2 linked regions of the Drosophila melanogaster genome follow. Changing the gene in region 1 together with any one later gene gives a genetic interaction. Each region holds a gene or a part of one and is shown on either strand. Other genes may lie near its edges.

Region 1 (7,675 bases):
GAAGCCGCATAACTTATATGGGCATTTTATAGTTCTGGCCAATGGTCAATACCTTATCAATTATGGACTCTAATCTAGCCATGTCACACCTGCCAACAGATGAAGTTACAATGACTAGTTCCGTAAGAAGTTAGCGTCATCGGTTCAAAGATTTATAGAGGCAATTCCTCTGTTTATAATGTGTACCCTATAAAAATATTAAAAATATAAAGTTTTCAATTAGCTACACGAGTAGCATAATAAGCTAAATTAAGTTGGTTGCCTAGACTAAAATTTTTTATCCTCACATAAAATACATAAATTTAAGTTTGCTAAGCTCTTGACTAATTTGAAAATGACTTTCAGATGAAAACCACAGCCAGCTTCCGCAAGGAGTACGCCTCTCTGGTCCGCGGACTCCTGGTCGAGCAGGTTAAGGAGAAATTCGTGAAGGGCAGTGTGATCAATGTGCTCAAGAACTGCGACCAGAAGGGTCGTCGTGTGCTCATCGTGAACTGTGGCAAACTCTGGGATCCCAGCGATATTACCAGCGATGAGATGTTCCGCATGCTCTACATGGTACATCTCGCCGCCCAGCTGGAGGAGGAGACCCAGGTGCGGGGCGTGGTCTGCATCATGGACTTCGAGGGACTGTCGATGAAACAGGTGAAGGCCCTGTCGCCGAGCTTCTCCAAGCGATTGCTCACATTCATCCAGGAGGCGATGCCCCTTCGCATGAAGGAGGTGCACTTCGTGAAGCAGCCGTTCATCTTCAACATGGTTTGGTCGCTCTTCAAGCCCTTCGTCAAACAAAAGCTGAACAATAGGGTAAGTAAAACGTGTACTTACTCCTACCTTGTCCTTCTGCCCTCAAAAGTAGGCTACAATTTCTCTTCATTGGAAGAATGAATCTTATCAGTAACGTAAAATACCTGATTCTTACAATTATAACCAAGTTATATAAACCATATTAATTAGACATAACTGATTTCCCCCTCCTTTTAAATGAATATTAATAACAATATATCATTGAATAATTTTCTTCCAACAGATGCACTTCCACGGCAGTGACATGAAGTCGTTGCAGAAGTTCCTCGACCCCTCCGTCCTGCCCGCCAACTACAAGGGTACTCTGCCCGCGATCGACTACGGTGGCGTCGAGTGGTTCCCCGCTCTGGAGCAGCAGGCCCAGTATGTGGAGGAGTGGAGCCAGCTTGGCCCTGCCCAGTGGTGATTGGCCCCATTTCAATACTACACTGACATTCGCATCCTACATTGACATTAGCTTAACTTTATGCTTGTAAATACTTTCAATATGTGTTTGCTTAGTTCGTAACATTTTGGCAATAAACTAGTTACATAATACTATAAACCACGGAAAAGCAATGTATATTATTTTTCGACTGGGTGTTGAGAGCATTAAATTTGAGCTGAATAGAGTTTTGTTACTCTAGCTACTGTCTAGAAAGCTTAAAAGTTGATATATGCAACACCCATCAGATAATGTTTTAAATTTGGAGGCATCGTGGTTTGAATTTAGGCTGAAACACACTATAATTAAAATAAAAGTCAATTTTATTTAAGAATTGGCTAGTTCATGTGAGTGTTTTGGGTTTATTTAACGCGTCTTTGGACTTTCAACTACTTCCATTTTCATACTCGATCATGATCAACATATGCGAACAAAGCATAAAAAACGTTTTGCATATCAAACGGAAATTTACAGCTCGGTGAGTGGGTTAATTCGAATATCATTCAAGTATTTTGTGTACTCTTCTACAATCATGGCAACGACGGTGACCATCAATAACTACATCAATAATTACACAATTTAATTTCTATATATATATATATATAGGCGACCGATGAGTTAAATCCAATTTAAAACTTTACATATGTGACACCGATTAGAAACCACATATCCACATATTGCATGTCGATTGAAACTCCTCGCTTAAAGAGAGGATGCTAAATTTGTTATCCTTTTTTTGTTTTCGTTGGAGTCTCTAAATGTGATGGGTCGTTTCTGTCCGCTTACAATACCATATTGGAAGGATCCTCCATGTAGTCGCGGAAGTGCTGCAGCCACCTGGCAGCAACAGCACCATCCACAACACGATGATCAGCACTCAGGGTGACCGTCAGCATGTTGACCTCCTTGAAGCTGCATAGAAAAAAAGATTATATTAGTTAGTGTACTATTCTCCTTATTTGAAACTTACCCCTTGAGACTGTCGGGATCAGCAACCAACTGTTTCGTTGTGGTGCCAATGGCAAGGATGCACGATTGAGGAGGGTTGATGACAGCGGCAAACTGGTTCACACCTGTGGTAGGATAACATATTAATTACCAAATTTGGACCAGGCTTTATATAACTGTATTTCCCATACCGAACATGCCCAGATTAGAAACCGAGATGGTGCCACCCTGGAATTCGTGGGGCTGAAGTTTGTTGTCGCGCGCCTTGGCTGCCAGCGCCTTGACATCCTTAGAGATCTCCAGGACACCCTTGCGGTCGGCATTGAAAACAATCGGGGTAATCAGACCCTTGTCTGTGGAGACAGCAACCGAAACATCGACGTCGTCGTACTTGCGAATTACTGTGTCCATCCAGGCGGAGTTCGCTTCGGGAACCTTAAGACTGGCAATGGCCACGGCCTTGATAATGAAGTCGTTTACAGAGACGCGGGCACCCTGCTTCTCGTACTTCTTGTTCACCTTCGCGCGGAACTTCAGCAGCTGTAAAAATTTCATTTAAATTAAATTTGAATTAAGAAGTATATCTGTTCGTGATAACCCACCTTATCCACTTGGCATTGCACGGTGACGTAGTAGTGAGGCAGTTGTGTCTTGGACTCCAGCAGACGTTTGGCAATCACTGCGCGCATGTTGGTCACCGGAATGTCCTCGTAGCGCGCTCCAGCTGCCCTGGGGGCCTTGGCAGGTGCCGCAGCAGCTGGCTTGGCTGCTGCTTTCTGGCCTGCAAGATCACCAGATTTAATTGAGCCATGGACTCCACTGCCCTTGCCTGCACACAAAAGCCGCGGATTAGTAACGGAACAATTGGACAAAGGGCGCTATATGAAAAGCTGTACGGTTGGATAGTGTATATGGGAGGTTTTGTTATCTGTAACGAATGATTATGATGGATGTTAGTCAGGTGATGCATGCATTGCGAAATGGAACAGGATGTGTGTAAGAGAGGCATTAGTTAGGATTAAACAACCTTGTAGACGCAGCTGTTGTGCCTCGGCTAGTCGCTTGGCCATGGGACTGGCATATACACGGCCCGTACCTGCTGCAGCTGGAGCAGCGGCGGGAGCTGGTGGAGGCGCAGCGGCTGCTGGAGCTGCGGCGGGTGGTGGTGGTGGTGGCGGAGCTGCTGCTGCTGCCGGTGCTGGAGCTGGAGCTGCTGCCGGAGCAGCTGGTGCTGCGGCGGCACCGTCGTCCTTGAAGTTCGCGAAAGCAGCTACGCTGCCTTGGTCCGGCACGATAATGCACAGCAGCTGGCCAACGGGAACGTCCTTGGTGCCGCCCTGGATGAGAATCTTAGCCAGAAAGCCCTCCTCGGGCGTCTCAAAGCCCATGGTGGCCTTATCCGTCTCAATCTCGCACAGCAAGTCACCTGCAATCAGGGTGTCATAAATTTGATCCTGAAACTCGGATATTTTGGTAACTATCACACGTACCTTCGTTGAGCTTATCGCCCTCCTTCTTCTCCCAGCTGACAATCGATCCGCGCTCCATAGTCGGGGAAAGTGCGGGCAGTGGCACCCTGATGTGTTCCGGAAGGTTGGCATAGGCACGGGCGAAGTTGTAGCTCCATGTGACCGGTGACTGGCTAGTGTTAAGTTTCGACCTGCGCGATATTCAAACAAAACTAGTTTATTAAAGTTGGTTGCATTGGGTTGTATCCACTATTAGAAAACATAATATTGAATAAATAGTATAGGTGTATTACTTGCAATATGGGTATACAGAATCCTTGGAAACTATTTTTCCTTCTGATTCGTAACGGTGTACATTTTGTATGACCTGTTATAATTACAAAATGACCATGTTAATGAAAGCATTTTGGATGGGTTAATTTATGGACGCTCGATCAGCTGTTAGTTTGTTGTTGTTTACGTACCCACACTCCTGTACTATCTACACATTTAGGCGTTCAATCGCCCACTCGTCAGATGTAAACAATGGAACCCAAAAAGAGTGACCCATTAAATCATTAGACGGAATTTTCTAGCTTATCAGCCAGCCGAAACACTATCACGCATCATGCGATATAGGAGAGCGTGTATTCGACCTTGGCCATAAACCAAATCAGCAGTGGAGCACGCACAACACACGCAAATCGCATGGGTATGTGTGAGAGTGTTTTTGGGGAATACGACATATATGCTAAATAGTTGGACACGGGACTGTCAATCATCGCCCCCCACAGGTCCCACATAATCCCGCTGCAGTATACGCATTTTGCAATATTACACAACCATTTCTAACCTCAACGAAAGCGGGGAGAATTGGGGAAATTGGGAGATTTTTACCTGATGCTCTGGAGTTTCCGGGAGTTGATCAGCTGGCTGCTGAGGGCGCGCACAACCACATTTCCCGTCGATCGGCGGACATAGGTGGCGTTATTCGATCGCAGGAGCACGGAGCGAAGGGCCCCAAGTTCGTTTCGTGTTGTTGCAAGGGAGCGCAGCATATTCGTCCTTTATCGTTGGTCTGCCTGGGGAATCCTAATCCAAGTCCTGTTGTGGCAACGCGCGTTGATGAAGTGGATCTAACGGCGGCGCGTCTTTCGGAATTTTGACTAACGAATCGAGTCGAAAAACGGCAAAGTCGAAAATTTACAAAATTATGCCGATAACCTTACGGAGGTCAGTGTGAACGCAGACGGAACGCCAAAAAATGTGCAAGCGGTATTCAATATACCGAAACATACCATCACTTTTTTTAGCGGTTCAGCGAATTTATTTTCAAAAAACGTACACGAAATGTTTGACAGAGGTATCACAGTGTTTTGAAAGGAGATTCTCCTTTGTGATATTTTTTCATATGACCCAGCAATTTATGAAGTTGTTGTTAGTTACCTCGAAATCTTTTGCTGAATTCTTATTTTCATTTCCGTTTTAAATTCAATTGATTTTTTTTAAAGCAACGATATTAAAAAGATGTTTTAATTTTCCAATTGGAAATTTGGCTTTTTTACAAAATGGTGCATGGGAATGAGTGCGGTGAGGCGTCTGGTCACACTTTACTCGTGCTTGTAGACATTCGATAGTTTGTTATGCACCATGCACACTATTCACTAATTACGAAAATGCTTATATATAAATAGCTCATATTTTAAGAATGTTTTTGTCTATCTAAATATGTATATGTAGTTCATTCAATTAATACTTTCTTATGTAGAATATTCTCTGAAATTATATACGCAAATAAAATGTCATTATAGATGATGGACGGTTTGTTATTATTTATTCCGGAGCATAAACAATCTATTTTTATACCAAAGCCCACAACCTGTTTGGAAATTTGAGGAGCTCGCATGGAAAAAAATACAAAACTGGACGACTGAATAAATCAGACAATATATTATTGAAATTTTTTCTAGTCACATTAACAGATGTTTTTTCGTTTCATTAAATTAAATATAATGATTATAACAATAATCATTTTTTGTTGTTCCCTTTGTGAAAGATATGATTCCAATTAAAGTAAAGTAACACAGTTTTAAGAAGCCATAATTTTATTTTTAAGAAAAACTTAATAAAAAGAGTACTTTTATATTTTACTCATCTTTAAATTAGGCAATTTGTTGAACACTTGTATCGGTCGCTTTCGTATGCAAATCGCCTCATATTGAGTGTACTTCAACATGTGCCGGGTTACGAGACACACCAGAGCACCTGATGAAGTACAATAGACATGGGAGACAGTTGATACACATGGGATTTCTGGCGAGGACTCGCCTGCGAGCATTTCGCTTATTTATATGGTGAAGATGGAGATATATGTCTGCCACCACGCGCGCTACTTCAGGTACCTGACTGTATATAAAAAACCAGCCCCGGTCACTGATTAGCGCGCAAGGTAGGAGACTTTACAGTCGGGGGAACATCATCACATATAACGAGTAGGAACTGTGGTGGCTGGAGTTGAAGATGAAGAGCCAGGCCAGTCCAAGCCAAGCCCAGTCAGGTTTTTTTTTCAGCATTTGCAGTTCTGAGACAGATGTTTGGCCGCCGCATGGCAACAAAACTGCATCAGCGAATGGCGACCCCCTTCTGGGGAGGGGGTCACGGGAGTCGACCTTGTGCCTGGTATTAGGTCTCCGTCGCTTTGGGGTTAACGATCTTTGCGAGCTTGGTAGTTGTACGCGTTGATGATGATGACGCCATGCGAATTTTATGCAATAACAATGCCAAAATTAGTCATATGAGAGCAGAAAACTGGAACCAGGGGCGTATCTAGATTCAACTTGCGGGTTTTTTCACTTTGTTGTCTTCCATTCTTCAAGTGCTGAAAATTGTGAATTAATTTGGTTTGATTGTCAAAGGTTTTACCAACTATTTCGGAGCGTAGTATTGGCCCCCTGGTTGCGCCACTGGAGTGCTAATGACCACATAGGACGTGACGTCATCCGTCAGCGAATTATTACATTTCATTCAGCAAATTCTCTTTTCCTTGCGTTTCGTTCGGCAGACCCTTGATATTCTATATTTGAAACGCTGTAAAGAGACAAGCAAAGGAAATGAAAGCCAAAGAAGACGCAATAAAAGTGAGCATAAAAATGGGAAAAAAAAAGAACCGGCGTTTTAAGCTCTCTCTCTCGCGTTCTCTTTCTCTCCTACTGTTACTAACCGCATATACGTGCGTGATCACACATACACTCTCGTACATAGGCACACAATTCAGCTGAGACACACACGTGCCTTCTATACATTCGCGAATTCTCTCAAAGCTGTGTGGGTATTTAAATTTTTGCAAAAGTATTTTTTAACTACCTTTTCGACTGGCTTCTTTTTTTACAACACGCCTCATAAACCTGCGATCGCGAACAGCTTTGGACTGTGAATAATGGCGAATTTCTGCGGTACAGACGGATTTATATATATATATATATATATTTGTATATATGTGCAGTACATAAATGAGCAGCCATTGCTTGGGTGGGGCATTCCTAACCTCAAAAACCGACTGTCTTCGCATTTGTATGTGTATGTGTCTGTTTGTATGTGTATGCTGTGTGGGTGTCTCCTCGCTCTTCTCTTTTTTTATTCAGCAAAAATGCAGCACATGCTTTTTCCTAGCCAAGCCATCGTTTTTTGTTGTTGCCCTTAACCCCTGAGCAACGAAATAACGAAAAAAAATTGAAGTTCCTACTAAAAATTCGATAATGCACTCACACATGCGCACAATGAGCTTTGTCTGGGTTAAAAAAATCTAAAATTAATATTTGAGCGACAAAAAGTTCCCCAAAAAAAGCTACGTCTGTATGGGTTGGTTATATGGAAATATGTAGAATCATGTGGTCACCATTTGCGTCATTTTTTTCTCGTAGTGTAGCGAAAAAAGCTGCCTTGTGATATCAAAATGCTAAAAATAAACCTCGTTCTTCTTTCCGGCCATCTCTTTTAAGAGTTCTTTCACGTTCTTTGATTCCTGGTGGTAGAAAAACCTAGAAGCTCC
Region 2 (6,002 bases), on another chromosome or scaffold:
CTGCAGAAGCCCCTGCTGCCCGTTCACCACATGGAGGCGCACGCGCTGCAGGCCCGCATGGAACATCCGGAGCAGATCGGCTACCCCTTCCTCTGCTTGCTGGCCAGCGGCGGCCACTGTCAGTTGGTGGTGGCTAACGGCCCCGGTCGCCTTACGCTTCTTGGCCAAACACTGGATGATGCGCCCGGCGAGGCCTTTGACAAGATCGGTCGGCGACTACGCCTGCACATTCTGCCGGAGTACCGCTTGTGGAACGGAGGACGGGCCATTGAGCATGCCGCCCAGCTGGCCAGCGATCCGCTGGCCTACGAGTTTCCGCTGCCACTTGCCCAGCAGCGGAACTGCAACTTCAGCTTCGCCGGCATCAAGAACAACTCCTTCCGGGCCATCCGAGCGCGCGAGCGGGCAGAGCGGACACCTCCGGACGGAGTCATCAGCAACTACGGCGACTTCTGCGCCGGCCTGCTGCGCTCTGTCAGCCGGCACCTGATGCACCGCACGCAGCGGGCAATTGAGTACTGCCTCCTGCCGCACAGGCAGCTCTTCGGTGACACCCCGCCCACACTGGTCATGTCCGGCGGTGTGGCCAACAACGATGCCATATACGCCAACATCGAACATCTGGCCGCGCAGTATGGCTGCAGGAGCTTCCGTCCATCGAAGCGGTACTGCTCCGACAACGGCGTCATGATCGCCTGGCACGGCGTTGAGCAACTGCTGCAGGATAAAGAGGCCAGCACGCGCTACGACTACGACAGCATTGATATCCAGGGCAGCGCGGGATTCGCCGAGTCGCACGAGGAAGCTGTCGCTGCGGCGGCCATAAAATGCAAGTGGATACAGCCACTGGTTTGATCACTAGCCCCTGTTGTGTTTTATACATTCTTACATAAAGTTACAGATGAATCCTTGTTCGTTGTTGAATCCTGTTTGTCTGATTTACAAATTAATAATATATTCATAATATTTTTGAGTGTGTGAGTTCTTTGGCGCTGCAGAGTTCCTACTTGCTAAGAGCCACCTTGCTAGCTCTGGTGGCTTCCGAGATCTCGACGTTTATGCTGACGAACAATAGGACATGGCCAGATAATCAAAATATAGTTTATAGTAATGGAAAAGCTTTGCCTCCACCTGTTGGCCACTTTTCCAGGAACGTAATAACTGATATGACGACAGGTCTTTATCACGCGAATCGATATAGAAATAAACAACCACAAATGAATCACAAATGCTATATAAAAATCACAATTGCATTGAATTTATGTAATTTTATACATATAAAAAGTACATTTTCGCTTGTGCATCTTTGGTGGGATGTTCCCTTTTTTTTTTTCATTTCAGGCAAGACAGTGAGTGGTTTCGTTTTGGATTTCGTTTTATTATAAGATATTATCTGAAATCAATAATGTTAAATCACTAAGGTCTAGAAAAAAAATGTAAAAATTGATAATGTGTACATATAAAAATATTAAAAAATGCATTAGTTCTTATTTTCCTTTCATCTTTTGTCGTTTTTGTTTTTTTGCTGAACTACAATACAAATGTTTGTTGCTGTTGCCGTTGTTTTATTGTTTGTTATACTTTATGGATTATACATATTTAAATATATATATATATATGTATATACTTTTATATAGATTGTAGATTTCAGATGTGTGTTTGTGTTGTGGTTGCAACGCCTAGTTCGGTTCTCGCATCTCTTGCTGATCCTTTATCTCCTCCTTTAGGTTCATTTAATTTACTTTTAATCATATTTCAATACTCATACGCTTAGTTTTATTACATAATAAGCTTCACTTTCATATCTGCATGCTAGCGAATTCCATCCGACCTCCGCTGTTTAAACATTACGCGATCAGTTATCATAAATATTTAATATAATTCTCGCACGTTGCTCCTTTCGGGACAATATCGACGTGGATTCCCGCGGATTTCATCGACTGAGGCAAAACGAATAAGTGCATGGTTCTTTTCGAATCGCCCCACATTCTGTTCTGTTCTGGATTGTTTTTTTGTTTATCGTAAATGTATATTTTTTTTTTTTTTGCCTCTCCTTAATCTTTGTATATATATATAAAGAAATATATATATATATACATATATATATATATATATTTATATATAAATCATTTGTTTTCGCTATATTGATATTGTGGTTCCTCTTTTTACTTAATTCGAAAATTGCGCCAAAAACATGTTTGGGAGCAGAAATGAAGTCGGCTGGGTTTCGATTCGATTGGCTGCGATTGGATCCTGGCGGGGATTGGAGCTGAAGCTTGTGGGGCGGAAGACTGTCCCGAGTTGGGGGCAACTGCCCAGCCGCCTGGTCACAGTGGACCAAACATAGAAACCGACCAAAATACCGGGTAGGGATTAGAGCTCTGGAGGCTGGAGCACGGACACTACTGACACAGATACGCGGACGCGCGTAAGTGGAGACACAGACGGTGTGTGAGACAAAAAGAGTAGAGTGGGAGTGGGGACACAGGCGGATGGCGGCGAGGAGAAATAGCTCATGGAGTACTGGGCTAATGCAGAATAACGTAAATCAAGACCAATATATATACATATATATATATATATGTTATATATATATATATACGGCTATATATTGAATGCTTCTCGACGACGGGAGGCTGGGAAGGAGTCATTGCGATAGTAGAAAGCCAGAATGAAAGGGATACCGCGTGTGAGGAAAGCAGAATTATAAGAATTTGCACTTCCTTTTCTTTGTGGGCTCTGGTGGCTCGAGGGCGGCCAGGATGGCCTCGTCGAATACATTTTTCAGGCCCTTCTGTGTCAAGGCCGAGCACTCCACGTACTTGACGGCCTTCAGCTCCTTGGCCAGCTTCTCGCCCTGCTCCATGGTGATGGGCTTCTGCTTGTTCTTGGCCAGCTTCTCCAGCGTGCTGTTCTCGTCGCGCAAATCAATCTGTGTGCCCACCAGCAGGAACGGCGTCTTTTGGCAATGGTGTGTAATCTCGGGCACCCACTGCAAATGCAAAATGACTCACTTACAGTCTCGCCATGGCGTAGAATAGTCTTGTACGTACCTTCTCCTTGACGTTCTCGAAGGAACTGGGACTGACCACCGAAAAGCAGACAAGGAAGACATCCGTCTGCGGATAGGAGAGCGGACGCAGCCGATCGTAGTCCTCCTGTCCGGCCGTATCGAACAGGCCCAGTGTGTAGGGCTCACCGCCGATCATCACAGTGACCGCATAGTTGTCGAACACCGTGGGCACGTACTCCGACGGGAACTTGTTGGTTGTATACGAGATGAGCAGGCATGTCTTACCCACGGCTCCGTCGCCGACGACCACGCACTTGATGGTTTGCATGTTGTGCAGAGGGGTGATGACTCCTGCGGATTAGTGGGGGTTAGTTTGCCGGATTACACTGGGGGGATGACTAGTGGGTGCGGCTTCCCTGCTCCTGCTCGTACTCCTGCCAGAGTGACCGTTCGCCAGCGGCGCCTTATCAACGAGGAGGAGCGGAGCCCAGGAGAGCGGGGCGGCAGTGTGTGTGCAATGTACATATGTACATATCTGGGCAGAATGAGCGATGACTCAAGCCGAAGAAAGAACGGAAAGAATGGAAAGCAACGGCGCACACAGATAAGCCGGACGGGCATCAGAAAATTCTGATTGGACACACATACACGCAAACACTTGCGCGCAGGGGCGCAGCGAGTACGGCAGCTTGCGGTTGTGTGTGTGCGGTGCGTGTTCACTTGGTCTAATGCAGTTTTTGCTGCACTATTACTGGCTTTATGATGGTTTATTTGGTCACGGGACTGGCCGCCCAGTCAGCTGCTGGAGCTGCCCCCTGTTTTTAGCTATAGTCGGATTTTAGACGAGATTTGCAGACAAAAAACTAAAGAAATTTGGAAGCAATTATTTATCACACACGCACACTGCGGCACGGACCACACGCACATATGACACACACACACAGGCAGGCAGGCCCGTCATCGACATTTGGTTTTCATTCACTTTTCACTGGGCAAATTGAAACGCGTTGCGATCTATACGGCGGATGCTCGTTGCGGGCACCTTTTCCGCCTTACTTACAGTTATTTAAAATTTGCAACCGCTGTCGAATCCGTTTAGTTTTCCGCTTTTCTGGGCTGGGCTCGATACGTACGGAAAACTACTATTTCCTTTTGTGTTAGCGTTCTCTCTCTCCAGCGAGCTCTTTGCGTGCGAGTGACTAGCGCGGCGTTGCCATCCCGTCGCAGTACTCCCACCCGGCTTGCATCGCAATCGGTATGTTGGTATTTTCGGTGGAAGTTCTCTGTCACTGTAAGGGCTATATATCCGACCGATCGGGCAGAGCGGGACCAATATACTGCATACAGTTGCGGTAACAATAATAAGCGGATTTCGTGTTTGTCCCAGTGTTTCTGTATTTTCTGACACTTTTTCATCATTTTACTCACTAAACTTAAATACTACAATGATTTTCAATCGAAATAAAAAAATTAGTAACAGATCTAATGGATAAAATAATTGGTAAAACAAAAAAAAACCTTCAAATTTAGGCGGTAACAAAAATAGCACTGTTTCTTGTAGTTTGCCAAAACTAAATAAAAAAATTTTTTAAAAAATTTTTAAAAAAATTTAAACAAACGGATTATATCTTAAAAACTATGTTTAAAGAATCTTAATATTTGGTTGCGTGACCTATGCTGGTAATGACAGCTGGACATCGTCTTGGCATGGACTCCACCAAGTCCTGGCACTGTTTTTGAGGAATTTTGCTTCCTGAATCCTTGACCACACCCCAAAATTCCTCGTTATTATTGGGTCTGGCTTCAGAAACCCTTTTTTCACGTCCGCCCAAAGGTTTTCGATTGGATTCAAGTCGGGTGACTGAGCAGGCCATTTCATTACTCGGATCTACTTCTGCTCAAACCACTTTGAGCTTTCTTGCTCGTGTGTTTTGGGTCGTTATCCTGTTGAAATGTCCAAACCAACGGCATTTCATCCTCGGCATATGACAGTAAATGTGCTGATCCATGATGCTTTGAATCCAATGGATTGGAACTACTCCATACCATGAAAAGCACGCCCATACCATGATGCTTGATCCCCCGTTTTTTACCGACTTAAAGGTGAAGCGAGGATTATATTTAGTGGTGGACGTCGTGGTGGACGCCGAACATAAGACCGAGAGCCTTTCCCACCAAACAACACAATTTTGATCTCATCTGACCACAAAATGTTGCACCACTTCTCCATAGGCCAGTCCTTGTGTATCTTGGCATATTCGATTCGCTTTGCCACATGCTTCACAGTCAAAAGCGGTACTTTTTTGGGGCTGCACGCATTAAGGTTGTTTTGTCTTAAGCGTTTGCGAACTGTTTCCACGCTTGCAGCTATCTGAAGCTCCTTCTTCAGTTCCGTCGCCGGCTTAAAAGACTCCTTCTTGCTTTGCCAAACCAAGCGCTTGATCTCCACGTTGGACATTGAGGGCTCTCTTCGCCGTGTTTCCTTCTTTTCGACAAACAGCAGTGCTTTGCGGATCATTTTGTTTGAACAACCGACAATGCGACCAATTTCAGCGTAGGTTTTACGTTCAGAAATCATGTTTTTAATCAAATTTCTTTTTTCGACGGTACAATGCTTTCCGCGACCCATGACTAGAGAATTTTTTGTCTTCGTTTGGAAAAAATTCAATTAAAACCTTTATTGCAACTCCTTTTTTCAAAATTTGTCGAAAAAAAAACCCAAAGCAATCACTCCTATTAATTGTATTCAGCAAATACGTGATCGGTGCTATTTTTGTTACCACAGCAAGTGCCCAAAAACAAAAAGAACCGTTACATTGAGAGAGTAAAAATTTCTTGCTCAGAGAGACAACATATGGTTCTTATTATTCATGCAATCTGACTTAAAAAAATAAAACATTTAATTATTTTTTTTGGTAAATCAACTTTCCACCTGCAGTAGTGTTATTATTTTAACCGCAGCTGTATTCATCGTGTCATCGTGAAGTAA

What was found. A genetic interaction does not mean that the proteins touch.
Region 2: of muc (region 1) and Cdc42, changing one enhances a phenotype caused by changing the other (phenotypic enhancement), as found in Drosophila melanogaster (one study listed by BioGRID).

What each region holds. Positions count from the first base shown.
Region 1 is NT_033779.5:7,424,211-7,431,885, reverse strand, and holds muc (midline uncoordinated), read right to left. Parts: upstream 5,021-7,675; 5' UTR 4,686-5,020; coding exon 4,525-4,685; intron 4,159-4,524; exon of another isoform or gene 4,113-4,158; intron 4,016-4,112; exon of another isoform or gene 3,942-4,015; intron 3,840-3,941; coding exon 3,670-3,839; intron 3,606-3,669; coding exon 3,207-3,605; intron 3,009-3,206; coding exon 2,782-3,008; intron 2,720-2,781; coding exon 2,371-2,719; intron 2,305-2,370; coding exon 2,202-2,304; intron 2,144-2,201; coding exon 2,014-2,143; 3' UTR 1,557-2,013; downstream 1-1,556. Other genes in the region: CG5958 (uncharacterized protein), read left to right, coding at 346-807, 1,031-1,213.
Region 2 is NC_004354.4:19,695,297-19,701,298, reverse strand, and holds Cdc42 (cell division cycle 42), read right to left. Parts: upstream 4,209-6,002; 5' UTR 4,147-4,208; exon of another isoform or gene 4,074-4,146; intron 3,365-4,073; 5' UTR 3,342-3,364; coding exon 3,054-3,341; intron 2,993-3,053; coding exon 2,705-2,992; 3' UTR 1,361-2,704; downstream 1-1,360. Other genes in the region: Tcs4 (Threonyl-carbamoyl synthesis 4), read left to right, coding at 1-855. UniProt on the Drosophila melanogaster protein: Regulates mbt kinase activity and is also required to recruit mbt to adherens junctions. Together with mbt and Frl, regulates photoreceptor cell morphogenesis. Together with Frl, has a role in the neuronal development of mushroom bodies.